7 linked regions of the Oryzias latipes genome follow. The main gene of each other region encodes a partner of the protein of the gene in region 2 in a complex. Links are inferred from orthologs where the notes say so. Each region holds a gene or a part of one and is shown on either strand. Other genes may lie near its edges. The genes, in order: nup107, nup98, nup160, nup214, cetn3, nup85 and nup188.

What was found.
Region 1: nup98 (region 2) and nup107 share a complex: the UniProt entries of both Homo sapiens proteins name them as parts of the nuclear pore complex. The link is inferred for Oryzias latipes from reciprocal best matches to the Homo sapiens genes NUP98 and NUP107.
Region 3: nup98 (region 2) and nup160 share a complex: the UniProt entries of both Homo sapiens proteins name them as parts of the nuclear pore complex. The link is inferred for Oryzias latipes from reciprocal best matches to the Homo sapiens genes NUP98 and NUP160.
Region 4: nup98 (region 2) and nup214 share a complex: the UniProt entries of both Homo sapiens proteins name them as parts of the nuclear pore complex. The link is inferred for Oryzias latipes from reciprocal best matches to the Homo sapiens genes NUP98 and NUP214.
Region 5: nup98 (region 2) and cetn3 share a complex: the UniProt entries of both Homo sapiens proteins name them as parts of the nuclear pore complex. The link is inferred for Oryzias latipes from reciprocal best matches to the Homo sapiens genes NUP98 and CETN3.
Region 6: nup98 (region 2) and nup85 share a complex: the UniProt entries of both Homo sapiens proteins name them as parts of the nuclear pore complex. The link is inferred for Oryzias latipes from reciprocal best matches to the Homo sapiens genes NUP98 and NUP85.
Region 7: nup98 (region 2) and nup188 share a complex: the UniProt entries of both Homo sapiens proteins name them as parts of the nuclear pore complex. The link is inferred for Oryzias latipes from reciprocal best matches to the Homo sapiens genes NUP98 and NUP188.

The regions. Positions count from the first base shown.
Region 1 is NC_019881.2:22,230,453-22,234,787, forward strand, and holds the start of nup107 (nuclear pore complex protein Nup107), read right to left. Parts: upstream 2,998-4,335; 5' UTR 2,903-2,997; coding exon 2,895-2,902; intron 1,208-2,894; coding exon 1,128-1,207; intron 1,029-1,127; coding exon 933-1,028; intron 864-932; coding exon 769-863; intron 691-768; coding exon 555-690; intron 295-554; coding exon 191-294; intron 118-190; coding exon 2-117; intron 1-1. UniProt on the Homo sapiens protein: Plays a role in the nuclear pore complex (NPC) assembly and/or maintenance. Required for the assembly of peripheral proteins into the NPC. May anchor NUP62 to the NPC. Involved in nephrogenesis.
Region 2 is NC_019872.2:23,886,203-23,890,796, forward strand, and holds the start of nup98 (nuclear pore complex protein Nup98-Nup96), read right to left. Parts: upstream 2,923-4,594; 5' UTR 2,773-2,922; intron 950-2,772; 5' UTR 921-949; coding exon 842-920; intron 1-841. UniProt on the Homo sapiens protein: Plays a role in the nuclear pore complex (NPC) assembly and/or maintenance. NUP98 and NUP96 are involved in the bidirectional transport across the NPC. May anchor NUP153 and TPR to the NPC.
Region 3 is NC_019864.2:4,344,950-4,348,703, reverse strand, and holds the end of nup160 (nuclear pore complex protein Nup160), read right to left. Parts: intron 3,740-3,754; coding exon 3,626-3,739; intron 3,532-3,625; coding exon 3,436-3,531; intron 3,362-3,435; coding exon 3,267-3,361; intron 3,014-3,266; coding exon 2,917-3,013; intron 2,756-2,916; coding exon 2,650-2,755; intron 2,576-2,649; coding exon 2,415-2,575; intron 2,334-2,414; coding exon 2,273-2,333; intron 2,113-2,272; coding exon 1,996-2,112; intron 1,810-1,995; coding exon 1,686-1,809; intron 1,524-1,685; coding exon 1,425-1,523; intron 1,361-1,424; coding exon 1,219-1,360; intron 1,148-1,218; coding exon 1,022-1,147; intron 955-1,021; coding exon 859-954; intron 788-858; coding exon 686-787; 3' UTR 620-685; downstream 1-619. UniProt on the Homo sapiens protein: Functions as a component of the nuclear pore complex (NPC). Involved in poly(A)+ RNA transport.
Region 4 is NC_019870.2:10,694,287-10,698,099, forward strand, and holds part of nup214 (nuclear pore complex protein Nup214), read right to left. Parts: coding exon 3,789-3,813; intron 3,467-3,788; coding exon 3,343-3,466; intron 753-3,342; coding exon 543-752; intron 330-542; coding exon 1-329. UniProt on the Homo sapiens protein: Part of the nuclear pore complex. Has a critical role in nucleocytoplasmic transport.
Region 5 is NC_019870.2:1,965,672-1,970,154, reverse strand, and holds the start of cetn3 (centrin-3), read right to left. Parts: upstream 2,836-4,483; 5' UTR 2,687-2,835; coding exon 2,670-2,686; intron 1,970-2,669; coding exon 1,837-1,969; intron 1,766-1,836; coding exon 1,651-1,765; intron 1,581-1,650; coding exon 1,389-1,580; intron 271-1,388; coding exon 227-270; 3' UTR 1-226. UniProt on the Homo sapiens protein: Plays a fundamental role in microtubule-organizing center structure and function. As a component of the TREX-2 complex, involved in the export of mRNAs to the cytoplasm through the nuclear pores.
Region 6 is NC_019866.2:13,014,314-13,017,763, forward strand, and holds the end of nup85 (nuclear pore complex protein Nup85), read right to left. Parts: intron 3,418-3,450; coding exon 3,266-3,417; intron 3,154-3,265; coding exon 3,036-3,153; intron 2,085-3,035; coding exon 1,984-2,084; intron 1,858-1,983; coding exon 1,706-1,857; intron 1,074-1,705; coding exon 972-1,073; intron 767-971; coding exon 668-766; 3' UTR 582-667; downstream 1-581. UniProt on the Homo sapiens protein: Essential component of the nuclear pore complex (NPC) that seems to be required for NPC assembly and maintenance. As part of the NPC Nup107-160 subcomplex plays a role in RNA export and in tethering NUP96/Nup98 and NUP153 to the nucleus.
Region 7 is NC_019870.2:8,149,328-8,153,140, reverse strand, and holds part of nup188 (nucleoporin NUP188 homolog), read right to left. Parts: intron 3,783-3,813; coding exon 3,582-3,782; intron 2,976-3,581; coding exon 2,883-2,975; intron 2,808-2,882; coding exon 2,655-2,807; intron 1,708-2,654; coding exon 1,570-1,707; intron 1,487-1,569; coding exon 1,412-1,486; intron 1,282-1,411; coding exon 1,072-1,281; intron 590-1,071; coding exon 458-589; intron 386-457; coding exon 312-385; intron 240-311; coding exon 110-239; intron 1-109. UniProt on the Homo sapiens protein: Component of the nuclear pore complex (NPC), a complex required for the trafficking across the nuclear envelope. Required for proper protein transport into the nucleus.

The sequences.
Region 1 (4,335 bases), on a different chromosome or scaffold from region 2:
CCTGTAAAGCGAGGCGATGAGTCTCCAGGTACAGTTCTCCTGCTGCAGCAGCCAGCGGACTCCTGCTGTTTTACTGTTCTGACCGGCTCTCAGAACCACAGACTGGAGAACGTTCACCTAAAACATGACGCAGAGCCGCTCAGCGTGACGTCCAGAACCTGATCTGCTCAAAGGCATCGCTCTACTCTACCTTCTCCTGGCAGAGGCTCTGATAATCCTCCAACAGGTCAAACACCGCAGAGGAAGAGTGCTTCAGAAAGGAGGCAAGGAATTCTGGGAAAAGACTTGCAGCTGCTGCAGAGAAAGCAAAGTCAGGAGAGGTTGGTTATTAAAAAATGATACGCTTTCTTCTTTAGAGGGAAATGTACCTGGAGATGCTGCTCAAACAACAATGAGGCTTTTTCGTTTCTCATCAATTATTCAGTCTTTTACTGTCATCACATCATAATTTCACATCAGGTTTAAAAACACATTTTAGGACAAGCTTCGAGCAGCGAATTTGACACCCGATTGGCGTGTGATGTGAAGGCATGAAAGTGGTTTGTTTTCCTCACCTGCATCTCCTGGATCGTCCTCCTTGAGCAGGGCTGAGCTCAGGTTGGCAGCATCGTCTTTGAAGAAGCTGGTGTTCTCCAGTCCAGACACGGGCGAGGTGTAAAAGCTGTTGGTCCAATCGCTGTCGTCCAAATTCTAGATACGCAATGGACGGGTTTGAGTTACAGACTGCAGCTGATCCCGGCTGTCCCTGCACATTAATCAGGGTCTCACCAGACTGCTGAGCGCGTTTCTGGGCGTGTGCATGAATCGAGGCGTTCGACCTCCAGGAACCAAAAGAGAAGAAGTGGCTGGAACCCTGGGGGTGACTGAGAGGCAGAGACATGAGGTAGGAATAGCTCAAAGCCTCAGATCTGACATGAATGTGAGCATCTCACCGGCCTGCCTGAACAACGAGGCAGGAGTGTTGATCAGGTGGGGGCGGGCTGGTGTTGCAGCAGAAGCGATGGGGCTGCCACCACTGGGTGACGGGACTGAGGCCAAGAGTCAGGAGAAACAAAGAAACTGTCCCGACATATAACTGTACACACAGACGCACAGAAACACACACAGCTACTGAAGCTGGAGGATACAAGCCACTTTCTTCCTCCTCCTGGCTGCGACCGTCACCTCCTCCTCTCGAACCACCGGAGACGGAAGCTCATTCTGACCCCTGGAGGTCAGAGAGATCAAAACAGAAACATACATTATCTTACTTGAAAAGCCAATTTTCTCCTAGTTTCATTTCAATGTGAATCAGGAACAGACGAAAAAGCGCCAAATGAAAAAGATAATAAATATCATGTAGCAAATATGCCGTTTGGGGCCACAAGTTCCATTCTGATGCATCCAATGCAAGAGAATGCAAGAGATCACATCACTCCTGTGTTGGTTTCGCTCCATTGGCTCCCAGTTGATTATAGAATCAAGTTCAAGATCCTCCTGTTAACCTATAAGGCCTTACATGGAATGGCCCCGTCCTAAATCAAAGATCTCATAGTTCCTTACCACCCAATCAGAACACTTCGTTCGCAAAACGCAGGACTGCTTGTGGTTCCTAGAATTAGTAAAAGTACGGTTGGAGGTAGAGCGTTTAGCCACCAAGCCCCTGTCTTATGGAATAAACTCCCAGCTCATGGAAGAGAGGCCGACTCAGTTTCTACAGTCAAAGTTAGACTTAAAACATTCCTCTTTGGACAGGCTTATTGTCAGACTAGTTAGTATTCAGAGATTATTTAACTTAATGTTAATTTGTTTAAATTAAACTTAATAACTTTCTTTTAAAAGGCTGCTAGAAGTTGAAGCTGGGGTAACTATGGTGCACTGGGGTTCTGTCCTCTTTTCTCTTCTACTTCTACCCTTCCTCTCCTCTATTCTTGATCATTATTCATCATTTAGTTCTCCATGCCTCTGTTTGGTGCAGTGTGATTCATGTATTGTCACTCTTTTCCTCTCCCCTCCTGGGGAGTGGGAGTGCTTCCAGACTCCAGTTGGATCATCCGTGCTCCAATTGCTGACCGTCTACCTCGCCTTTGCTCCTGCTCCTACACCTGGCTGTGGATCCTGCCTCTGACTCGACTCGCGCCTTTGACTGTCCCCCCAACCACGGCTGGATGAAGCTCGTCTGCTGGACTTTAAATGTGTAGTTGTAGATTTAGATAAGTAAATTCTTCTCTAAGAGTTCTGGTAAATCGCCTGTCCGTCCTGGGGGAGGATCCCTCCTTCATGTGGACACCCCTGAGGTTTCTTCGTTTTTCCGGAATCCGTTTTTATGGGAGTTTTCCCCTTAAAATTGAATTGAATTGAATTTAATCCATTTGCCGACAAAAATTGATCCATGAACGTTTTTGTTTTCCACGTCTGAGCTGGAATCTGGATCAAAACTGTACAACTGAGAGATCTCAAATATGGGTGACGGGAAGGGGGTGGGGTTAGGTGTAACTCAGGTGTACTAATCATTAGTACACCTGAGTTGAGGGAGTTTAATTAACTCCTGCCGCTCTGCAGAAGAACATACTACTACTAGTATAACTGTGTCCAAGAACGACAAGTGTTTGTCTTTTGGCTAAAAAAACAGCACAATCAAAAAAATAAAAACACTGGGAACGCTTTGAAAATAGATCAGAATTTAACCTAAGTGGGTCTTTAAACCTATCATTCATTATTTTTGACTAAACAGACGTCATGACATTCAGCTGACTGATTAGCTTGATGCTAGCATCGTTTGCTAATCTGACTCTTGTAACGTTTCCCGGAGACAACAAAAACGCAAAAACTGACCGATCGAACCGTACAAATGTGAACGTATCAGTGTTTCACAGCTGGTCACATTAATGACACAAAAATTTAAAATGTTTTACCAGTCCATGCTGGAGCCGATTCCCGCTCCGATATGTTTTCTTCTTCTCTGGTCTTTTACTTCTTCGCCTCTTCTCACGAATCTGCCTTTGAATTTAAGGTAAATCTGTCAGGCCTGTCAGCTGACTGCTGCCCCCTAGAGTTCACCATTAGATTACATCTATTTTTGAGAGGACGAAATAAAAAAGACAATATAAATATTAATTTAAATATTAATTAAGCATATACATATCTTTTAATTTTCACTTTTCTTTCAGTAATCCTATTATTTGTAATTTTGTGTATCAATTTGCCTTTTTGTGTTTTTTAGATTTATTCATTTAGTTAAATAGATATTCAGATCCACTATTTGATTAAAAAAGTTCACATTTGTGTAATTGTGTCATATTTACATTTTAAGTGATTATTCAGTCATTCATTTCTTTGGCCTGTTCAGCTGCTGAAAGACAGAGTTCCTTGTGTGTTGTACAGATTTTATGTTACAAAAGGTTTTCTTAAACACTCCAAACTGTTTAAACTTGTATTTTAATAGCTGATGTTATTTGAACTTCCATCCAGAGAACAGAATGACAAAGAACACATTAACCATATGATATGATGCATTTGATCTAAATCAAATCAAATAGTTGTCCTGCATTTTTTTTAAATGACTTTAAAGTTGTGCCTAATTTTGATATTAAATAAACAGGAAGTTTTTAGAAAAAAGGGTCTTTTTTAACAAGAGTGAACATTGTAATGTCAGGAAGGAAAATGTTTCAATACGTCTGATTTCAAAGATTGTGTATTATTTGAAAATTCCGTTTAAAAAAACATGTTGAAAAATATTTTTATACATTAAGATACACTTTATGTTCCCTACATAGAAGTTGAATTGTGTCGGATAAACGCTTTTAAAAGGATGTATTAGGAGTTTTTTCCCTTGTCAATTCCCGGCTGTGGTCGGAGTGAGACGTCTTTCCTAATAGACCATCTTTGTGCTCTGCCCTCCGCTCCGTTAGCTGCCGCTGTTGCGTGATCGATTCACGCAGCTCAGCTAAAGCAGGAACACCGGACGCTTCGTGGTCCGGTTAAAAGGAGATCTCCGCCGTTCAGAGAACCGGAAAAGGAGATTCTCACGGTCAGCAGCGGGTCCTGGTCACCTAAGAGGCCGGATCGACCCCCGCCGGCGGATCCCCAGCGCTGCCAGAGGGTCTGTTTGACCCGGGGGAAGATGGAGACCCCAGGTAAACTTTTCCCACTGCGTGGCAGGATTGGAGGCGACGGCCGCACAGAGAGGTCATTCATCAGATGGTCGCAGATTTGAACCTGGACCCCGCAGATCAGACTCTGGTGCGGGATTTCAGAATAAAAGAACCGCGTTCTTCTGCATTTGTTTGATCAATGACGCAGGTTCTGGTTTAAAAAGAAGCTAGAACATCCCATTTGAACCGGACTTTTCTTTCT
Region 2 (4,594 bases):
TTTCAGGAAGCGCACGGTTTCTTTATGGGCGGTTGATCTTTTTAAATCACATAATAGGCTAAGAGGTAAAACATCAATAATACCAGGAGGAACTTTAACACAAATGTTGTGGTAGATGAATGATCTTTGAGGTTGAACAACACATTTTTTTTTTTTTTCATTCATCTTCTTGACCGTTTATTCCCTTTCGGGGTCACGGGGTTGCCGGAGCCTATCCCGGCCACTTGGGCGTAGGCAAGGGATACCCTGGACTGGTCGCCAGTCTGTCGCAGGGTAGAATATCCTCAATCACACATCCATTCACTCTAACACTCACACCTATGGACAATTTAGAGTTGCCAATCCACCTATGAAGCATGTTTTTGGATGGTGGGAGGAAGCCGGAGATCCCGGGGAAAACCCACGCATGCACGGGGAGAACATGCAAACTCCACTCAGAAAGGTCCCCCATTGATGTCGTGTTTTTCATGTCCCCCCAGCCGGGACTTGAACCGGGGGCCTTCTTGCTGTGAGGCAAGAGCGCTAACCACTGCGCCACCGTGCAGCCCAACAACAACAACACAACAACACATTTTTGCAGAGTAAAAAAAAAAAACATTTTGGCATAAAGGACATTTAAAGGAAATGTATATTTACTGTGTGATGTCTATAAGTAGATTATTTTGCCCAAATTTCATATTTTCACAAAAATCTCTTTTCCAAACACTACAAATTCTGTCTGTGACAGAAAAACATGTTTAGGTTACAAAGCAAGTGCTTCCTCACAAATAAAAATACAGACTAAAGAGGCAAATATGTATAAACTTGTGTGTTTGAATATGTAAACATTGAATATACTCACTTTGCTGACCAAAGGTAGAAGATGCCCCAAACCCTCCCGCCCCGCCACCAAACGGAGTACCAAAGGAGCTGTTGAACATGGTGTCCTGCTAACCGGACCTCATAAGTCCTGCAAACAAAGGAGAACGGGGAACATTCATCTGTGAAAGTATCATGTTAGTGAAAAAAAACCCATCATCACTGGAAGAGCAACTAAAAGATCTGCGTGATGTGCTCAGCAGAACTAACTTCACCTACTAGTGTAAGGCCTTAAAACTTGTAAACCCTTCTTGAGTTAACATTCCAAGTGCAAATGTAGATGCCAACTTTCCCTTTTTCTGTTTATTTATCACTAACTAAAGCTTGTAGTTTGCTGCAGCAGAGCAGAAAATTTATGTTCCTGTTTTTTTTAATACTTTCATCTCAGAGGATCCGTCTCCTGCTTCTTTGTATTTACCCTGAATCAGGTTAATCAGACTCGCAGGAGCCTGAGAACCGAGACCGGGCGCTCCTGTTCAAAAACAGTTAAAGCTTCAGTGCAGCAGCGTTCCTCGACATGGAGCAGCAGGACCCACCAACTCCTTTTCTGGATCAATCGAACACAACTGACTTCATTGACTGTCGGTATCAACCCTGTGCAGAGTTTCATGAGTCTGCTGGCCTGAGCAGCAAAAAATAAATAAACAAAAAACTTGCAAGAAGTGGACTTTTGATAAACAGGAGCTGAGAAACTCTGTAGCAACAGAATTCCACAAGATAACAAGCAAGGTGATTGAGAAAGATAAGGCCAGCTGGTAAACATGTTTCTAATGATAAGTTTAAAGGAGGAGGATGGCAGTAATGTACAAACACATCAGTATATAGCAAGTTCAGGATTGATTGAAAGATTGATGATCAAAAAACAATAGTGTTGGGTATAACAGGTTTTTCCATGGAACAACCTCCAACACTCACTACAGCTTCTGAATAGGAAGTACGTTGATGAAATTATCCTTTTGGTCAGTTTACCAGCCAGTCTATGTTCCCATCCACAACATTGACCGTGAGCTAAAGGGAAATAAGGGTCTACCGCTGCTCAATAAATCCTGGTCCTCATGATCTACCACCTTTCCAGTTGTCTCTGTTGTTTCTGTTGAATAGCCGAGTCAGACGTCTCCTCATTCTAGTTGTCAAAACACACCTGATCTAGGTAATCAGCAGCTAAAGGTGCAGGGAGAGCTGGAAAACGGCAGGGTGGTACTGACCTAGGACCAGCACCAGAGAGCATGAGGAGCATGAGTCATGTTAGCTTGATTAAAAAACGTTTTCAACACCTCAGGTTGATTCTACTGGGCACATTTAAAAGGCAACCTAGCAACAAAACTAAATACTTTATTGGCTTATGTTGAAATAAAACTCAAGTATGGAGACGAGGCAAGCAACCAGACTTATAAACTGGCACCGACCAAGTTAGTAAAAAACACACACAAACGTAGCGTAACCAGCTGATTTCACTCCGGGCTCCACGTGGAACACAACCTGGTCTACATGGAAGCTAAACCATTAATCTTTAAAAACAATACAAAACGTTGAACACTCGACGGAAAGAATTCCCAATCAGAACCAAAAGCTTCCTGATTCCGAGCCGGAGGAAACCAGTTGGACCTTAGCTAAAGCTAATACATCGATGCATTAGCAGCATCTTTCTGCTTTGGCTATCGATACTTTAGTTAGTTAGTCGCTTAAGTAAAGTTGTAAAACGCTCACCAACCCCCACAAAGGTGCTTACTCACTACCCAAAGTGTAAAAACTCATGTCCATGAAGTATGTCTTCACTCCCAGATGCTTTTAATGCAACTACGTCAAGCTAACATTAGCATGCTAACAAGCTAGCTTCCGTGCTAGCCGAGGGCTAGCAAAGTAAACGCAATTCCTAATCTTCAAACTAACAAGCTGGTTTAAAGTAATATATACCTTTAACGATCCAACGCTGTATGGAGCGCTCGGTCTGTGTGTCGACCAGTCTTCCACAGGACTACAGCCGCGGAGTTCAAAATGTTTGCCGGCTCGGAGCGGGTTTAGTTTACCTAAACACCAGCGCCGCAATGAGGAGGGAAACCGCGCTGTCAACCGCGAGCACGCACATTCATACGTCATTGCGTCGACGTAAGAAACGATGCGTTCAAAGACGCGCTTCTCGAAATCTAACAGCGATTGGTCGATCTGCCAAACCAAACCAGAAAGCAGTTTAGTTTGATCACCCGCTACTCCATCCCTCTGGACCATGCAAATATCCTTTACAAGAACAAATCTTTATTTTACAATAATTGGTATAATAATAATATCTTACTGGTGGGTCAGCTCTTTAACCACAATGATCAATTACTCAGGAAGAATTTAACCTTAAATATAACCTTGCTGTTCCTCCAATAGAGTATACCATTGTTTTTGATGCTGTTACTAATGAAACCTGTGAACTGTTTAAAAATACTGTACCTCATGGAAATATCTCCTTCTTATCTCTAAGTGACACCACTGTTGGAAAATCTTGCTTCAACTTTGGAAAAACAACAAAGTTATACGTGCTCTGTTTCAGCAAAATGTCATTTCTGTTCCCTATGCTGTCTCCTATTGGAGAAAATTTATTCCTGACTTGCGCTGGTAAAATATTTGGACCCTGCATCAGAAATTATTAATCAATAACAAGATGAGAGATGTCTCATACAGATTCCTACATAGAATCTTTCCCACTAATCAATAAATGTTAAAGACAATTGACCCCAACTGTACTCTTTGTAAAGGACACCCAGAAACAATTAGTCACCTATTTTAGAATTGTAACATTACTAAAATGTTTAAGAAAGAAAGTACATGTTTTATAAATCACAAATTTGACTCAAAATTGCAGATGTATTTTGTGACTCCCAATTTCAGATGAGGTGGCGCAGTGGTTAACGCTCTTGCCTCACAGCAAGAAGATTCCTGCTTCAATTCCTGGCTGGGGGACCTGAAACAGAACACCAATGAGGGACCTTTCTGTGTTTGCGTGTTCTCTGCATGCATGTGACGGTTTTCAGCGGGGACTCCGGCTTCCTCCTACCGTCCAATAACATGCTTCATAGGTTAACTGGTTACTCTAATTTGTCCTTGGGTGTGAATGTGAGTGTGCAACAGACTGGCGACCTTTCCAGGATGTCCCCTGCCTTCACCCACAAGTGGCCGGGATAGGCTCCAGCAGCCCCGTGATCCCGAAAAGGAACAACAGTTTAGAAGAATGAATTATGAAATTTTAATATATCATATTTGGCCTACACAAAAAGAACACAAAATCACACATACAATTGGCAATCAATGTAATTATTATATGTGGTTTCATATTCACAAATTAAGTTTTCTTCATTACAACGTTTTCCCTGTAATAATTAAAGAATAAGAACCTTATTTACATACTATTTCTAATAGTTTAAAAAAAAGCCATATTTTATTTATGAGAACTGTATAGTAATTTGTTTTGCAATATTTATTTTGTAATACAACCCCTGGCACTCTCATTGTTAAGACTACTGTTTTTGTCATGCAAAATTTTTCTGTGTTTTGAACAATAAAGCATTACAAAAACATGGACCATACAGGGTAACACGTCATTCATCACTAAACAAGACTGTTTGACAATGGGTCTTCATGTATGTCAACTTAATTCAATTCAATTTTATTTGTATAACCCAAATTCACAACAACAGTCGTCTCGATGGGCTTCGTATCGGTAATTGAAAAAGTTAAACATAAAATCAAAAGG
Region 3 (3,754 bases), on a different chromosome or scaffold from region 2:
AATGTATGCAATATGTGTTTAGCACATTGAGAAAAATATCACCATGATAATTTTATGCTTAATCAGTTGTCCCCATCAAATCAGGAAAAGTCATGAAATATGAATATGAAGGAGCCCAGAAAACACATCCTTCTCCATCTCACTAGTGCCCCCTGTAGTTTCATTTTTGACAATGAAAGTGACTCATATCTCTATTTGGAATGATTAAAAACTCAAAACAATGACTTCTTTGAAAAGAAAAACGTTGCTGTAGCATGAACATGATAACTATTTTAGAGATTCCTTTTTTTCTGGAGCATGCACTTTGTAGACGATCCCTGGGCAGCTGTTTCACTGGATTCCATCTGGTGCCCCCCCCTGGACAGGTTGAGTCTCCTCAAGTTTCATGCAGTCGCCCTCAGAGCAAGATTGATCTTTTTCTTCAAAATCTGGATGAAGATGGGATGTGGTTTATTGTGAAATCCAGACCTTTTCTGGATCTTTCCAGTTGCTCCTTCCTCCTGTTCACCAACATTTTCATCAATCTCAGTGTTTCTCCAGCAGAAATGTAAAGATGGAAAGACGTTGGACTTTGTGTCTGTCATGGTACGAGTGTTTGTGCCTTCAAAGAAAAGTCTCATCAGTTACAAAAACACTTTATTTTCATAAACAACAACAACTACAAAACCAATCAGGCGACGGCGCCTCATGTGGTTATCTGCCGTCTTTGCGTGGTGAGTCTGAGCGCGCTCAGTTGCCGTACGGTTCTGTGATACTCGTCCAGTTTGTCCTGGACTCTGGTGTGGAGCTGAAAGACAGGGTCGTTAGAGTCTGTGGCGTCTCTACGGCGGGTTCTCGTGGACATGGGAAGTGACTTACAGTGTTGTGGGTCTGCGTCTCGCTCAAGGCGCGCAGCAGCTGGTCGATGGCGGTGTACGGCAGCCACGCCGGGTGGGAGGTGGCAGACAGTGGGTTCTGAGAAGACGGCAGGAATTCACTTTCAGAAGAACTGGAGGAACTTTCCAAGTTTGCATCTTCTCACCTGGATTCCAAAGTATTGGTGACCACGACCTAAAACTGCGTCCACGTACTCCAACACCAGCTCAGCGGCGCTCTCCAGCTGGTCAAAGTTCAGCAGCAGGCGCAGCAGAGACGGGGCATCAGCACGCTGCAGTGAAACAGCCCAGTCAGTTTTTACCACCAGCCACCTCGTACCTTTCTAGCTCCGCCCACTCTCACCTTGTAGGACTGGATGAGCCAATCAGGCAGAGGCACCCCATGTGACAGCAGTTTGTGGATGACGAGGCGGTGATGCTGTCCATTCGTGGAGGGATATCTGTCCAGGTAGGAGGCCAGCAGGCGCCACGCCTCATCTGCAGCACTGAGAAGGGGGCGGGGTCACAGGTGTGTCAACTCACCGCCATAACACCCACTCAATCCCTCACCTGGACTCCTTGGTGTTGATGACAGACAGATGATTAGCAGCCAACCAGCTCCAGGCTTCATTCTGAGACTCCTCCCCTCCCAACTGCAGCTTAATGCACCTGAACAAACCAAGAGGGGTTTATGGTCTCCTAAGCTCCTCCCACATTTAAGTGATCACCCTACCCACTGAAAAATATCTATGTAGGAGGAGCCTAACTTCATAGAAGCAGGTGAAGAGATGAGAAGATGTAAGGAAGGTCAAGAGTGTTTCCTGGACTCACTTGAAGGCTAGTCCCTCAAAGACCGGACTTAGGTCCAGCTTGAAGGTGTGACAGAGAGACAGCGCCGAGTCAAAAAGCCCGTTCTGGACCAGGAGGGTGACGAGTTCTGCCTCCGACACAGCGCCTAAACACAGAACCTGAACTGAGACGCAGAGCCATCTTGGAAACAGAGATCTGACCTGCAGGATCCACCTCAAACGTTCCAACAGGCTGGTGAACCCATCAGAACCACACAATCTGACTCAAGTGTGGGGCGACTCATGTTCTTCATGAATCGGGTTTGTCACGTGTGTCTCCCTCCCACACATACCTGCAACTGCAGCAGAGGATGGGTGGTGCTGCGCCAACGTGAGGCGGCTGCGGGACAGGAAGTACTCTTTTTCTAGATTCTGGAGCTCCAGGATGTCCACCTGCTGCCTCCCTGTAGCTGCAAACACAGACACCTATGGACCCACACATGTTCCTGCTACACTCACACAAAAGATGCAGGCGCACACCATAACACGCACAATAACGCCCACAATAACACGCACAATAACGCCCACAATAACGCGCACAATAACGCGCGCACACAAAGCCAGGCTCACCTGGTTCACCAAGAATATCTCCGTCTGAGTTTCTCTTTGGCGATGCCCCCGCCCGCTTGCACTGCACCCAGAGAAATCATGTGATGGTTTTAGTATGCACACCTGTGTGTGTGTGAACATGCGTGTACATTTGCGTGCTCACCGCGCTGCTGGCGGCCGGCTGGACGATCCAGGCGTACTCGGGTCTAATGAGTCTCAGACAGTTGAGAGCAGCCAGGTAGCAGTTCACCTGCTTCTGGAGGCCCAGCCGGGTCCGGACCTCCCGGCCCAGACGCATCCCAAACTCGAACATGACCGTCCCCGCTGAGAGAGCAGAAGAGTGAGGGGGGGGGGGGCCAACAGATGCGTGGGGGGTGGCGTGCTGTACACGGCCTCACCTTTCCTGTAGTTGTGTCGGCCGATGTGGAAGGCGTACAGCAGCTCGTAGTAGTTGTGGGTCAACAGGTCCAGACCTCGGGCCCGGGACTCGATAATGTTCACCACCTGAGGGTCATATGACTGCATTCAGAACCACCACAGAGACGCAGAACTTCCCTGAAGAATATCCAGCGTGGAGCAAAGGTCCAGGCGGCAGAACCAGTTTGGTCTGTAAACCACCTGATCAAGGATACCATCTGTGGTTCTGGTTCTGATTCAAGTCTCACCTCGTCGTGCAGGTTTACGTAGGGGAACTGGACCAAATCTCGAAGCTGGGAGCGCTCACACAGAACCACCACCAGCTGACGGAGACAGTCCAGCTGCCTAAGACACAAAGGAACCCCGATCAGAACACGGCAGGAAGCCTCAGCTCCAGAACTTTCTTATTGGTTCCGTCTGAAACGTCAGGCTTCTTGATCACATTTATGAGGGTTTTAGCAACCTCACAGGTCACATGATCAGTCAATCTGTTGCTTTGTTTGTTTTTTATAAATTAGCTGATCTGTGAACAAAATGCAGTCAGAACCTCGAAAGCCCTGAGCGGCGCCGGCACAGATCTGCTTCTGTGAGAACATACATGCTGCTGTCTGGGTTCTGGGTCAGAGCTTCATAGGCCTCGCTGTTGTGTCCCAGGTCCAGATGGTGCTTGAACATCCTTGTCCACAGAGCGGCCTGCACACCCACACACACACACACATGAGGAGCTTTCCATCAGAACCAGCAGGAGTCTGGCCATCACCTCTTACCTGCCTAACCGCCCCCCCTCCCGCCTCTGTGACGGCCAGAGAGGCCAACTGGACCACCAGCTCCGGCAGACCCATGTCTTCCAGAAGACGCAGAACCTGCGTGTCAGAAAGGGTTTCCCGTTCTACAGTCAGCTGGGACTCTGGAAGGACGGGGGTGAGGGTGGAGCGTGCTCCACCTGTGGGTTCTGACCTTATTGTAGTACTGCATTCTGGGTGGAGCTTCCTCATCCTCGCTCGCCACCAGCTTCATCAGGAAGTCCTCTTTCTCCACCTCGGAGGCCGCTTCCTGGAAACACTGCAGGGCCTGGACAAGAGACAG
Region 4 (3,813 bases), on a different chromosome or scaffold from region 2:
CGAGAGTGCGGACGGGGTCTCAGACGGAGGTTTGGAGGCAAATGAGAAGCCAGAGGACCCTGAGCCAAAAGGCACAGATCCTCCCAAGGCGAAAGCTGCAACTGGGGCAGAGGTGGTGGAGAAGGTTGATGGGACTGAGAAACTAAAGCCGGAGAAGGCTGATGTCACAGGAGCCGTTGGAGCCATGCTAAAAGGAATAATGGAGGACGGAGCAGAAGAGACTGGAGGACTGGGCGCAGCTGCTGAAGAAGCGAGGCTGATGCTCGGGAAGGCAGGTGGAGCAGAAGGAACTGCAGCAGGAATCTTGGCTGGTGCTGTTGCCACGGAACCTTTGAACAGAAAGAAAAGTATTCGTCATCTGATTCCACAAAAAAACAAAGTCACTTTTCACAAAATATAAATGGAGACTGCATAGTTTTAGATTACACTTTATGGTTAGGATAAGAAAAATTTCATTTGATTTTCTGCGCAAACAATTTAAAATCAAGCAACAGACTATTAACAAGTTGTAAAATTTTGAATTTTTTTTTTTTGCTACTTACGAGGATGACCAAAACTCACACCTGCAACCCTCTCCATAACAGCCTTCTCACCTGGCTTTGGTAGCCTCTCCCCTTCAGGGGTCAGCATTGTAGGGGGTGAGACAAGCTGTTTGGCCCCAGGGTTTTGGTTGACTAAAGCAAATGAGCAGAGCAATCCCTCTGTGGACAGCATCATCAGAGTGGGTGCTGGAGGTAAGGTCTTCTCATCGGCTGTGGGCGAGTGAAGGTATCAAAAATCAATGACTAGTTTTCTACAGTAACCCTTTTAAAAGTGTTAATCTCCTTTCAGCAACACAAAAAAATTAAAATAAAACAAATAATTGGCTTAAAATTGATGCCTTGATATCAATATTCTTTTTTTTTTTTTATTGCAGCCTCCCGCTGATCAGAGGCAGCAGAAATTTCTTTTTTTAAGCTATCTGGCAGGAAATTCTGTCAAGTCCATTAATTAGGATTCAGTTTGGAATAATCATTTACAGACGGCTCATAGAAAATATTTGACTTCCTGCTCGATGCTATTTCCAGTTAATAAAAACAGCTTCACAGGGGAAATAAAAGTGATGTGTGCACACAGTTTGTGATCACAAACTGCTTTATGTCACATGGAGCTTAAAAATACTTACAGGATGTGCACAAAGATGTTAGTGCGTTAGGGTGTTTCCACTTCTTTTTCTTTGCCTTTAATGCATTTGGTTTGAAAAATGTATCTGCATTTATATGGACAGCGCAATTCTAAAGATGCATGAAGTGGCAGAAAACAGCCCACCGGCTTCCTCTTCGTGCCAAACCCTCAAACCTTTCTACCACTCACACCCACTTTCCTGTACTTCCAAAATCCTGCAGTGTCTTGTGGGCTGGAGACAAAATCTCATCTAAAGAATTGAAATAACATCTACAGCACAAATGGCATATATTAGACTGTGCAGTGACTTATTTAAAGTCTCTATCTGATCATCTTTTGTTCTATTGTAAAAGCCTTCCCAGTTGTCTTTTAATTATGATTATGCAGTTTTGAGCCAAAAATCCAAAATCCTATGTCAATTTCTAGCACGTAGCTTCTGCAGAGCGGTAGGAATTCATTAGAAATTCACCTCCGAGTAGTGGGCGGGACTGTTAGCATGGATAAAGCCCGCCCCCTTCCCCATCATTCATCTCTGTATGTGCTCTCTTTAGTGCTCACACCCACCACCTAACATGTTAAAGACACCAAAATCATGATTTTCATTGAAGTGGGTCCTTCATTTGTAGATTTTATGTTGATGGAAGGACTTAAGTTCAATTAGTTAAACTTATTCAAGACCGATTTTTTTTCGATCATCATAATCATGATTTGTTCTAAGGCTGTTGAGCTACAGGTTTCATCTCCCTGAAGGAGAAAACTGAACACACCCATTTAATAATTCTTTCAGTGTTTCAGGTTTATTTTGTTCTACAGACAAAGTACCCCCCCCTATTGAAATACAGCACAGCAATTAATCCCTTTTTTTGTTGTCAAAGCAAAGTTTGAAGCCAAATTGAGAAGAGAGGAGACTAATGATAAAAAAAAGAGAAGTGTGAGAAAAGCTCATCAGCATTCTGCAGCACAGTTGTCTGAGCTTTGTTGCTTGTTATGGTTCCCAAGCCATTTTTAATTAGACAATTTTTGTTTTGCGTACAAATGAGTTTTTTCCATTACGCCCTGTGCTTTGTTTACACACAGCCTTATTTTGAACAGACTACATTGGTGGTGTACTGTTGCTCAAACTGCATTCTTTTCCTTTTTGGGATGGAGAGTGAGTTCTCAGAGGGAGCAGTGAGGGATGTGACTAGACAGCAACAGCAGTTCTACGTGAATGTCTGGCAGACTTGGCCGGTTAAGATAAAAGAGTGCACTGAGACGGCAGCTGATCATTATTCTCTGCGCATGCTGCAATACAGCACTGCAGTAAATGCTGTATGCACAAAGCAGCCTGATGGAACTGAGCTTCAATCCGATCAATAGAAAAGTACAAATACAAAACATACAACGGTAAACAAAAGAATAATAATAGATAGAGTTGAAAGTAACTAAACTTTAATTTCACACACACTCAACAAAAGTTAACTTTTGTCTGTCTATTTGTGCAGCAAAAGGGCTAAGTATTAACCAACATCTGTCTTCAAGGTTACTCGACTAACCTCGAGCAATCCAAAAATAAATGCTGTTAATGCAATAAACCAAAAAAGGATGTAAAAAAACTAATATATAAGTCTGTTTTATTCAACAGTTACGAATCTGCATAAGTTAAATTTCCTATTAAAATCAATAGAACAACTTCATCCAGTTTTATTTGTTTCTGCTAAACAGATTAGAATGTTTTGATCAGTCCACATCAAAGCTGCAGAGGAAACCAAATATCCAACTGACAAACGGTTCTGCTGTTACCAGTCTGACAAATTTTTCCCCACTAAATTGATATTTTTAAAATCAATTTTCACAAAGCTTGGACTTACATTTAATTTAACTGCACATGAATTTCCAGCAGTCGTTATTTGTCCTTAAGAACTTAAACCACTGAAGCAGAGTTTTTTTTTTGTACATTTAAATTTAAACCTGATCAATTAACATCAGCACAAACTTGAAAAAAATAGATTGAAATGTCTTTAAAAATCAGGTAAATGTACATAACTCAAGTTCACCCACTGTTAAGAAAGATGAACACCATCAAGCTTCTCTAAAGCTTTTAGAAAAATGAATTTCTTCATATGATATGTAACTGACGTTTTGTGAATCAAATGTTTTTACTTGAAAAGCAGAAAGTTGACAGTCAAAGGCACTTACTAATGTAGATCTCCTGCTGGCTGGTGTAGTCTATTGCCAAACCAAGAGGCAGAGTGTCTTCATTTGACTCGGTCACTCGTAGTTCAGCCCTACCCGCATCTTCAAGGATCCACAGTTCCCACATCTACCAGGAGAAAAAAGAAAACATTTGAGAAAGAGCTGAACTAATGAAACTCTTGCGGAAACTTGAAAACAAAGAAACTAAAAAGATTCCTTCTCAGTGCAGTTGTATCCAAAACATTCTGCTCTCTAAAGGGATGAGTGAAATGTCCCAAACAAGTGTCACACATTGTGGGGTGTTGAATCTAGCAGCCTTTAAAAATATTGGTATTTCAAACTATAGAATATAAAAATAAAAGAAAGCATTTGTAGGGAATCTCCTTTATTGTATTACTGACATAAAAGTTAAATATCTTTATACTTGACTTTTTCTTTTTTAGCTATACCTTGTCATCTTGTCTTGCAATGACG
Region 5 (4,483 bases), on a different chromosome or scaffold from region 2:
GGAAAACACTCTTTATTTTATGAAAAATAAATAAAACACTCACACAAACAGTTCAAAAGTCAAGATCGACTTAAATCTTGATCTTTACAGAAAGTCAGTCCAGTTTTTACTGTTGGAAAGTCTTCTCATGTCCAGCGGGATTCAGACTCACGGGCTCTGAGGGGGCGTCCACTGGCTCTGTGGAGAAACGTCTGGGTCCAGCTCAGAAGGCGTTCCGGGCTCCTCCTCAGGAGTCTGCGGTCATGATGGCGAGGAACTCCTCCTGGTTTACTGAGGAAACACCGGTCTGCTCAGACTCTCAAGGCCTGTTCACACCGGGACGAATTTCGTCGGCGAAACGCCTCGTGACTAAACAAAGGGCACCAACGAGAGTGTGCACACCGACGCGAAAAAACGCCATGCGTTAAAGCGTCAAAAAAAAAAAACGCCTCGGGTTCGTTTTTTTTTTTTCGACGCGTCGCATCGAAATCTATTCGACCAATGAGAATGGCGCTTTTGCTCACGTGTCTGGAGCTTCTGAAGTTACAGTAAAACACAACTTGGGGGCGCTCAAACACAAAACTGCCTTGCTGAGCACACATACCAGCGAAGAAGATAGACGCCAAGTAGCGTCTACACAGCCGCGAAGCAATAATGACGGACATTCTAAAATATCCCCGAACCAAGCACCAGTTGGAGCTACTGATGCTTGAAATATTAATGTTTTCTTTGTTTGATTCTGACAAGCGTGTAAATACTTGCTCTCTTCTTCTGAGTGAAAAGCGACTTTAAGAAGCGTAAAGTTGCGCAGCGCCACCTTGTGTACAGGAGTATTTCTGTTTACATTAAGCGCCATCTAATGTCAGGGAATGAAATTGCATGTTCGCTCGGCTCATCGTCAGCGAAAATCGCCTGGGTGTGAACACAAAAAACGTGGAGAAAAACGCTGGCGAATAACGCCTGGCGAATATTCGTCCCGGTGTGTACGGGCCTTCGGGTCGCTAAAACTCTGGAACAGGTCAGCTGAGGAAACCGTGAGGGGAGGAGCCGCGCTCTCCGCCCAATCACCGGCGACCTCGGAGCGGGAACGCCAGAACCTTCCTGCCATGGAGGTCAGAGAGCGATGGGATTTCTAAAGCAGGAGCCGCACCGGGAGAAGAGCGGTCCACCTACGATCAGGAGGTCGCAGGTTTATGCGTTGAAGTGACCTTGAGCGAGAGACTGAACCCCCACCTTGCCCCTCTGTTGTCATGGCAGCTCTGCCGCCTTCAGAGTGACCTTAAAACGCGTTAGACCTGCATAAGAGCTACATAAGTACAGGCTGTTGACCCTCATCTCCGCGGCAACGACAGAACACGTGTCATCCGGTGAAGGGGGCGTGGCTTTAACCTGAGCGAATGCAGACTTACTCTCTCCGTCTCTGTCGGTGTCGAACTCGTCGATCATGCTGCGCAGCTCTTCGTCGTTGATGTCCTCGCCGAGCTCTCGGGCGACCCTCCTCAGGTTCCTCAGGCTGATCCTCCCGGACTCGTCGTCGTCGAACAGCTTGAAGGCCTTCAGGACCTCCTCCTTCGGGTCCCGCTCCAGGATGCGGTCCGTCACTGCGGGCAGACGCGTTTCAGGGCGGCTCCTCGTCGCCTGGCTCTGAGGAAGAGGAGGCCAGTGACTCACCTACTTCACTGAAGTCCTCAAAGGTGATCTTCCTGTTCCCGTCTCTGTCGTAGTCCTTCAGGATCTTCAGGACGTCCATCTTCTTCACTTCAAAGCCCAGGGCGCGCATCGCCACCTGGTGGGACCGTGACAGATGACACCTTTGGTCTCGTTTCCACGGTTTCCATCCGATCCGCCGCCGCTCACCTTCAGCTCGTGATAATCGATCTGTCGGTCCTTGTCCGTGTCAAACAGGTCGAAGGCCTCCTTGACCTCGTGCTTCTGCTCCTCGGTGAGCTCCCTCCTCTTATTAGGCTTGTTTTTGTCGGCCTGGTCGGTTCTGCGGAGCAAAACCAGAGTCACAGATTCTCCCTGTGACCACAAACCAGAGCTTGAACCTCGCCGTTCAACCGTGAAGGATGGACGAAGACAAAAAAACAAGAGTTTGAACATCTTCATCAGTCAGGAACAGACATGAAGGCAGGAGAAGACTGACGGCAAACTCTGAGCCGAGAGAGAAACCTGCTTCAACCAACTCAGAGATCTCCGATCAGATTTGAGCCAATAAGAACCCAGACCCATTTAGTCTTATCGTAGTATTTGACCACAAACCACAGAATCCTATTTCTGATATTTTTCTGTCACATTGACGTCACAACAGGTTTATTTGGAGAACCTTTGACCAAATATGGTGGAAAAACAAACGTTATTTCAAAATAAAAGAACTCATTCCCCGAAACGAGCTTTTGGTCCCGGAAAGTCCAAATCAGGTGAAATATTATCTACCGAGGACAGAACCTGAGAGGTCACAGAATTTCGGTGCAACGTCTTCAGCCAAGCTCAGATTGATTCAGAGACAGCTCCACCGAACCGAACCCTTTGACAGACACACATTTGGACCGTTTGGACCGACGCAGCCCTTTGACCGAGTCTCCGGTCAACAAGCTCTGAATGTTTGAGGCAAACGGGCGACATGCTAACGTCGGCTAACAAGGCGAGAGAACCGGAAATGACGTCACCGTAAAAGCTGCGATCCTCACCTCAGAGACAGACTCATTGCGATCGAATTGCAGATCCAAACGCGAAGATTTCACTTCCAAGGAACGGCTACTGTCGCTCAACGAGCAAAAACAAACCCCGCGTGTCCGCGCTCAGATCCGAGGTCCTCATTGGTCGGTGGTCTCTAGGCAACAGCAAGGCGCTCGCTTAGTGGCGCTCTGTTTTTTTTTCTTCGGGAGCAAACTGAACCCAAGCGGGACACCAGCGCCCCCTGCTGTCGTCTGTCATTGCTACATCTGCTAATACTGACGCTGGAATCCTTTTCAAAGTCAAATAAAATGTAGAAAAACTTTAAATAGAAAATCAGTTTGTGATTCACAAAAGAATAATCCAGATAACTTTAAGACACATTCCGGCCATCTTTTGATCTATTTCCCTTCCTGTGGACAGTTTTACAGGACAGTTTCTGCAGATCCACAGGAGTTCATCAGAGGTTCTCCTCTGAGTTGTGGCCATTGGCACACAGTAAGCCTGTCTAATTTCCCATGATTCCTTTGTTTACACTCTTTCCTGCTATCTAACAGCCCCCCCCCCAACCCCCCCAACATTACTGGTGCAACAAAAATGGCAGCCTCATCAGATCCGTCCATTCGTCCAGTTCAGACTCCAGCTCAGACCAGGAAAACAGAGATGTTTATGGATCTATTTGTCTGACAGTGAATGCATCGGAATGGAGCGCAGCACGGAGCTTGTGGCACCGCCCAGCACATTTTTTTCTTTTTTAAACTGCATTTTTTTAGTCTGCTCCTGATTCACAACAAATGAAAATTTGCGCTTAATTTTCTTCATACATGGTCCTCCATCATCAAGAACATGTTAAAAACACCTAAATATTAGACTTTGTCCTCCAACAGTTCAGCACACCCTTTATTTGTTGTAACTTGTTACTCTGAACTGATGACAAGTTTTCCTCATAAACATTGGTCAACGGTCCTGTTATGTCTGATGTCTGTCTGTCAACATTAAAGGCATGTAACCCATAATGGTCCTGGCTTGTTGAACAGTCGTCCTTCTCTCTGGAATCCTGCCGGAGGTTTCTACCCTCTGGAAATGCTTGGAGCATTTCCCGAGGGTCTTTGTGCCCCCACCCCTGATTTGGGCTTTGTCTCAGTTTTATCAGGGATTTCCCATGGTGCTCCGGGATGAAGGTGCCGCCCGGTCTCGGCTCACGTCGGGGCGTTTCCTGTGTCACATGTGTCATCCTAGATAACGCCTGAGTGAAAAACCATGTCGCCTCAGGAGAGATTCAAGCTCAGCAGAGTCTAAGTCAGAAAAAAATACAAAAAAACAGGTGGTAACAACAACAACAGGCAGTAGTTTGTGACGGAATGAAAATAACAGCATAAAAAAAACTCCTCCTGATGAATTTCCTACTGGAGCCTCTGAAGTTTCACTGCGATGATTGACTGGAGGAGGATTCTGGAGGCAGAACATTCTCCTTTCTGTTCAGCTGAAGGAGGATCTGTGTTTGATTTCCAGCCAGCCCTCCTGTTTTTACCCCCCACCCCACCCCCAACTCAGTCTGAGAATTCATGGGGGGGGGGGGGCACAGGTATTTAGCCAGCGTCATAGAGGAGGCTTTCTAAAGAACCCAAAGGGATGTGTGCACGTGTGCAGGCGTGCACGTATACAGGTGTGCACATTTAGCAGTGGGGGGGGGGGGGGGTAAGGTTCAGGCTCAGAAAGCAGCATCTTTATTTGCTCAAACCCACTTTCTAGAACCAAATCAAACTGAAAGAGTCAGAGAACGTTTTCACTTTTTAAAAAACCTGAAGAAATGATTAATGACAGAAGT
Region 6 (3,450 bases), on a different chromosome or scaffold from region 2:
AGAATGCATTTCTTTCTAGATTCTCCAGGGTTCAACTAGCTGTTGTTGCTAGCTCAATGAATTCACTGCTTCAGATTGAGCCATTTAAACTCAGTTGTTTGTTTTTTTTAAATATTTTTATTTTATGAAATGTGAGGGGAAAGTGATTTCATTTGTTAGAGCCTTAGCCTGGAATGAAAGCACTGATTTTCCTCCCATTGTTGGTATATGTTCAGGTATATGTTCATGTGCGTTTTTAAATCACTGAATTTTGGTTTGCTCTGTTTTTTGGCAGTTTGAAAGGTTTTATTTTGAGACTGAAATATTTTACTGTGCAGTTTGGCAGTGAATGCATCTTGTAACATGAGCAGAATTTGTCCAACACACGTTTTCTTAGGATATCAAAATGTGAGAGCAAAAGGGTATCGAGTCATGTTGGAGCGGATGTACAGAAGTGTGTTTGATGTAAATATTGTGAGATGTGTCTGTTTACTGTAAATTATGGAAATGTAATGTGCCATCTGTCTGCTGCTTGAAAATAAAAGAGTATTGATGTTTGATATTCCCCTTTTGAAGTACATCATTATGAATAAAAAAGCTGATTTAGGTTGAGAATTTTTTTATTATCAAAAGTCACAAAAGTTATTGGATTTTATGTACATCATGGAAAAGAATGAGGGGGTGTACTTCATGTTTCCACCGTTCCCTCTTTGACTATGGCCATTGCCAAGTTTCTTGATAGCGCGAGTCTCAGGAGCTCCACTTTGGTCAACTCTACATCTTCCTCCTAAACGAATATAGATATAATAAAGTGTTTAAATCAACTTCCCATTCACAAATCCAGTATATTTCTTCAAAAACAAAGTTTCAAACATTTAGAGATGTACATTTTACAGGGAATAAAAGCTGCTTTACAAAGCCAAACAGGGAAAAACTCTTACTTTGAAAGGTTACATGAAAGTTTCAGAGGCTGGAAAGGATGAAATTCGTACCTGCATGGATTTGTCCGAGTCTGAAGATGGAGTGTTCAGTGAGGAAGTGAGCTCCTCTAAACAGAACATCAACTCATAGGTTTGGTCCGCTGAGAAGATCACCTTTATAAAAAATAAATAAACCAATAAAAACATTTAAAAAGGCGCTTTTGTCAATATCTTATAGCTTTTCTTGCATCAAAATGCAACAATCTACAGCTTGGTGCTTAAGGCTGCTAAATACCAACAATGTCATTAGGAAATGATTTTTGATTCACAAAATAACGAAACAAAAGCTCATGGGATAATTTAAAAGAGTGTGTTACAAACAAAAATATTCAAATACTTCATGATTTTACAGACAGAAAATTCCTATATTGAATTTTATATGTGATAGAATAAAAAAACACAGTTTGAAACTTCTAAAAGATTCGAAACTGAAAGTGGAAAAAAAGATTTGAAACTCAAATTGAGTTTTGAAACTTAAAAACAGAAAATTTGAAGGTGAAAATAATTATGTTTCTATTAGAATTGCAGAAAGTTTCGGACACTTTAATTTTTTTTTAGCTTAACACCAATATTTTAGCTTGAATTTTCAAGTTGTTTTATTTGGGTTTGAAATCTTAATGGCCCTGATTTGGCTCCATACAACTTAACATTTGAAGAAAACTTTGGCTGAAAATCTCAGTTGGGTTTTATTCTTTGTTTAGTGTAAAAACTGCTCCACAAAAGCTGGAAACTTGATGTTAGCTGACCTCTTTCTGCTCCAGCAGAGGCAGCGCATCAGTCAGCAAGGTCATCCAGAAGCTCCGAGGAGCAATCTTGGCCGTCATGAGGGAGAGGAGCAGCTTTGCAGCCTCCTTGAAGCGCTTCTCCCCGTAAAGCTTGTGAAACTCGCGGTACTTCCCTAAACAAGCAGACAAACGTTATCCACAATTACCTAGAAATGAAAAATAAAATGCTGTTGCCCAATGAGTATTCATAGGTTCTGCAGGAGGAGGAACAACAATTCAAGTGTATTTTAAGTGTGTACCAAGAAAAGTCAGCCTGTCGCTTAGCAGCATGGCTGGACCCAAGTTGTCGATCAAATCCAGATCAGAAAAGGTCCCTTTGGCGCAGTAATCCTGTAAAAATCTGACACAAAAACAGAAAGATGTCAATTTGTTTTATTTCCCCAAACAGTAGGGGTGTAACGGTACACGTAGTCGGACTGAACCGTTTCGGTACGGCAATTTTTGTTTGGATCACTTTTGCAGCGTTTCGGTTTTACGTTTTTTTTTGTTCTGCCTCCGGCGTAGAGGATCTCCTCTGGGTTTTCCGATTACGCCTCAGAAACCTCATTGCAGGAGGTTCAACAGCCATTAGGTGACGGAGTTGACAGTGAGCGTGTCAACAGTATCATGCAGACGCGAGGCCAGAGCTGAAGGACCCCCCCCCCATTTCTCCTTACGCTCTTGTGTGTGGGAAAAGACAACTGGATAAGTCGAATGCTGCGTTTCGACATTTTATTGTTACATGAAGATAGCATATGCCACAGATAATGCATCTAATATGTTAACGCAATTAAAAAAGGTAAGAAATGTTTTTTTTTCAGGCCAGTGTTAAAATCCAAAGTTCTTGGTTCCTGACAGCTAATAGTTGTATTATTTTATGTAGCAGATCACCTACATAGATTAATTTTATTATTGTTATATAAAACCAATCAACGCATTTTGCAAGAATTTTTTTTCTGTCTTTTTGTACCAAAAAAACAAACAGAAAATATATCAAACCGAGCCCTATGAAATTCTGAACCGAACCGAATTGAGATTTTTGTGTACCGTTACACCCCTACCAAACAGTGATGTCTTTTTAGGTTTAGAATACACAATAAAGGTTGACAAAAATACAACAAATTAAACAGAGCTTTGAGAACCATTTGTGATTTAACTGATTTACATCTAAAAGCTGAGAAAAAAGGAGGGAAAACTTGAATAACTCTGCGGCTCAGAAAAACGTCCATTTCTGGACGTCTGGTGAAGCTAAAAGTTAAATGTACAGAACAATGATCAAAGACAAAGGTGCAGATTGTAAAGAGAAGCCAACCTTTCAGAGATGAGGGTGGCAAACGCTGCATCTTTGGCTCTGATGCTCCAGGAAAGGGCGGAGCCAAGTCTGTTGTTTCTTAAGGCCCTCATGGCCATGATTTTACAGATACTCCGTACTGGATCACAAACAAAAAACACATTTCAAATGCCAAACTCAACGAAAGAAAGTTCAACTTGAATGGTATTTCTGGAACCAAGGTGATTACAGAATAAAGAGTCTTTTAGAACCTTGCTCCGACATCTGCCTCTGTTCACAAATGCGGAGGACCTTCAGTGCTTTCCGCTCCGTGTCTAAGGGAACGCGCTCAATCTGGAGCTCAAGGTAGACACGACCAAACTCGAGGCAGTGATCGAAGTAATCCACAGCCAACTGCCACAGACTGATCAACAGACAAACAAAAAGACATCCTTTA
Region 7 (3,813 bases), on a different chromosome or scaffold from region 2:
GTAGAAAACTAGAATGAAAAATGTTTTTTGTGCTACTAATCCTCCAATTGTTCTATAGTCTGCATATTACTCATTTAAAATCCCATCTTTGAACTTTCAAAGCCCTCACCAGTTCTGAGCTGAGCTCCTGCTTGAGCCTCTGTTTGTCCCGCGGGAGGATGGAGGGGTCTTTGAGACACCGGACAGCCTGAGAGATGAGCACGTAGAAGCAGTTCTCCATGGTGAACATCAGCAGTGACCTTAGGGGGGAAAGAAAGCGTCTTTTGGTGCACTACCGCATGCTGCTTGACTACAGAAAGGAGTTGACTCACTTCAGAGCTTGGAGCTCTTCGGATGAAGCCAGCGATGCTATGCTGACCGAAGCCGTCTCCTTCTTCTTCTCCATCTGTCCAGACAGAACATAAAACGCTCAAGGACTGCCTGCAGCTAAAACCTGCAACAAAAATGTGAAGAGTACCTCGCTCAGCATGCTGAGCGCCACGTTGATCGTAGCCAGCAGGGTCCCAAATGAAGGCGCCACATCGGGGTCAAAGGCCGGAGTCGTGAAGCTGAGCACAAACAGGGTCCGGTACTCGGCCAGGTCCATGCACTGATGCAGAAGTGGCTTAGTAAATAGTCGAGCACATATTCCGCTCATGTAAAGCTACGTTCATTGTACTGTGCCTTCAATGAGAGGTCTGTGTAAATGTGCATATATGCGCAATTTGGGCTTCCACGTAAAACCTGATGAACTTTGACCAATCGGGGACATTTGTGGTCATGACGAATGGATGGCGTCCTTTTTGAGTCACAGAAGTGCCAACCGTTTTTAAATTCATCATGAAGGAGAAATTAATAATAGCAGTTTTTGCCCAGCCAGAATTCTATGACACCAAGTCTTTCCTGTATCTGGATAGAGCTGAGGGAAAAAAAAAGCCTGGAGCTAGACTCACTAGATTTGCACCGCTTCGACGCCAAGCGTCTTCCCACTGTAGGTTTATGCGCTAGTACTAAGTAATGACAGTCCATCGTGAACGTGCATCACATGTGTAGAGAGCCTGAGGGGAAAGCGGAGGATCTGAGCGGTCTCACCTGGTCCAGGAGGATCTGGCAGCAGTCGGGAGTGAAGTGCTGCAGAGCAGCCAGGGTTTTGCTGAGGATCTTCAAAAGGCTGCACTGCACGGTCAGCAGGGCCTTCTGCTCGGCTTCCTCTGCCCCCGCTGCCCCTGCTGTTGCCTGAGTCTGAGGGGGGCGCTGGGTCCTGGAGAGGGGACCAGGAGGCAACGCCTCACCATTCTTGGCCTACAAAACACAAACTCATGACTTTTTTTTGTCTGTCAAGTACACAAAGTTTCTGGTAGGGATATACGACAAATGTGACATTTATTAAGCATCTTTTATGAAATGTTAAGCAATCCTTAGATGTTCAGACCTGCAGGTAGTGATGGAGCATCTTCTTGCTGTGGAGCAGATATGTGCAGGTCTGGCACAGGTAACACAGGTTGATCTGAACACAAACAGAAGGGGAAAAAACGTTTATGAGCTCCGAATGATATCTCCTGCTGAAAGTGTGATGAAATGTGGACTCGCCTGCACGTCCAGGAGCAGCTTGGGGAGGTGAAACTGCCACTCCTTACAGAAACTGGACAGTTGGAGGAGGAAACCAACCGTGTGATCCGCCTCGTCCAAGCAGGCCAGGCTCTGAACGGTGCGCATGGAGTTCAGACACTGAGGGAAGAGAAACCGACATGCCTTTAAACCCAAACCGCCCTGGATCCTACAGGACTTCAGCAAAAAGGATGCATGGATCCAGATTTGCCGGAACAAGTTTGAAACACGAGAACCTGAGAAGTGGTCTCCAACCTTTTTCAGGCCACAGACCGTTTAAATGTCAGACAAAATTTTCACAGCCTCCGGTTTCACTTAACTTTTGAGGTAAAGTTTATCTTCATTCCCTGTAAAATATCAGCAGCTGCTTTAAACTTGAATAGTTCCTACATTAAATCTAGCGTAGAAATAGAAGCTTAAAAAATACATAAAATCAGACGCCAACCTCAGCCTAATCTGACTTTTAAGGTGTAATGGATAAATACAAAACTAAAACTGTTGTTTTCTAAATATAATAATAATTGTCTTACACTGTTTGAGTATCTTTATTAGCAGCATCTTCATAACATTAGACAGCTGGTTGCTGAATATTCAGCATTACTATAGAGTGTTGAAACAACTGTCGCAATAAATCCACATTTCAAGTAAAAACTCCTGGGGTTGTCTGTTTAACGTAGATTTCTTTTATTTTGAAGTCAAAGGCTCTTCGTCTGTTTCCCTTTTGGCTCTTTCCTGCGAAAATAAACTTTCCAAAAACGATTTGTCTCAACTTTGTTAGCTTGGTGGTTTCACTTTAGCGGTCGGCGCAGACGCTTTAGGAAAGAGGGAATTTCGACATGTGACTGAGCGACTTGACATTCGTCAAGAATGAATCGGATATAGTGGAGAGAATCCTGTAGTTTTCCAAAATAAAACTTCCATCAGAGTCAGATTATAAATAAAAACAGGAGGGATTGTAGGTCGCGTTATTTTTCTCTGTGGCACAGTACCAACCGTCCCACAGACCGGTTCCGGTCCACGGACGGGGGTTTGGGACCACTGGTCTGAATCGTCCTGATCGATCGTACCTGTAAGATGCGCTCTTGATGAACTCCAACAAAGTCCAGGGCTTCATTAATGAAGTGGTAGCGCAGCGTCTTGAGAAGACTCTCCATCAAAGACATGCAGAGGCGGTAAACGCCCGGCCAACAGGCCACATCCTGCGACTTCCTGGAGAAGCTCTGCTAACAGAAGCAACACTTTCAGAACGACTGGATTTGGCCCGAAAATCTCTAAGAATGTATAACGGATTCCACCTGAGAGGCTCCATTTGATGGACCTTCATAAACACTGAGAAGAGGAAGACAGATGGTCTCAGTAACTCCGGCTCCTGCTACAGCCGCTGCTCCCTGAAGAAGAGCAAAAAAAAAAGAAGGAGGAGAACTTCAAAAGCTTAAATCTGACATTCCGATTCCAAATGTATTCAAAATCCTCAAAAGCTTTTTATTTTCCTTCTCCTGCAGTCATTTAGATAGAATTAAATAAGCTCTGATCATTTAAGAAGATTTACAGTCTGTTGTGTAACTGCTGTAGTGATGAACTGCGGCTGCTGTTGTTAGTCCTCCGGAGATTCTTTCACATTAAACACAGACTGAAACACAGTTTGGGTTTTTCACGTCTCCATCTCCACCAAAAACATTTTAGACGTAATAGACAAAGGAAATGTCATGAGCAGAATTTAAATTGCAGGTGCAAAACAGGAAGTTTCAACACAGCGGAAGAAAAAAATGCTAACAAATCAGCAAAGAGGACAAAACACAAGAGCAACAGCAAAAAAGAGAAAACTAAAGATGAAGATTGACAGTTTCTCAAAAAAACTGTCAGGATAATAGGGAACAGAGACATCTAGTGGTGACAGATGGTGGATTACAAATAGTGCAGGTTAAAAATGATCACAAAAACAGAAAACAACTCAAAGTCACAGCGACTTGTACTCTGTGTGCGTTTTTTCTTACCTGAGGAGTGCGAGCCAGTGTAAGCAGCAGATGCAGAGCAGCTTCGGTGAAGTACAGGTTGTGTTTGGAGCGCAGGCTGAGCTCCATGGCGCTCATAACTGAGGGCAGGACCGGCACCTTCCTCATTACCGAGACCCAGTGCTCACCATCCTCATCTGTGCGGCACAGCTCCTTTGCCAGATGGAGTGCGAGTACGCAGACCTAATTCACAGGAATTAAAGGAAGAAGTGGA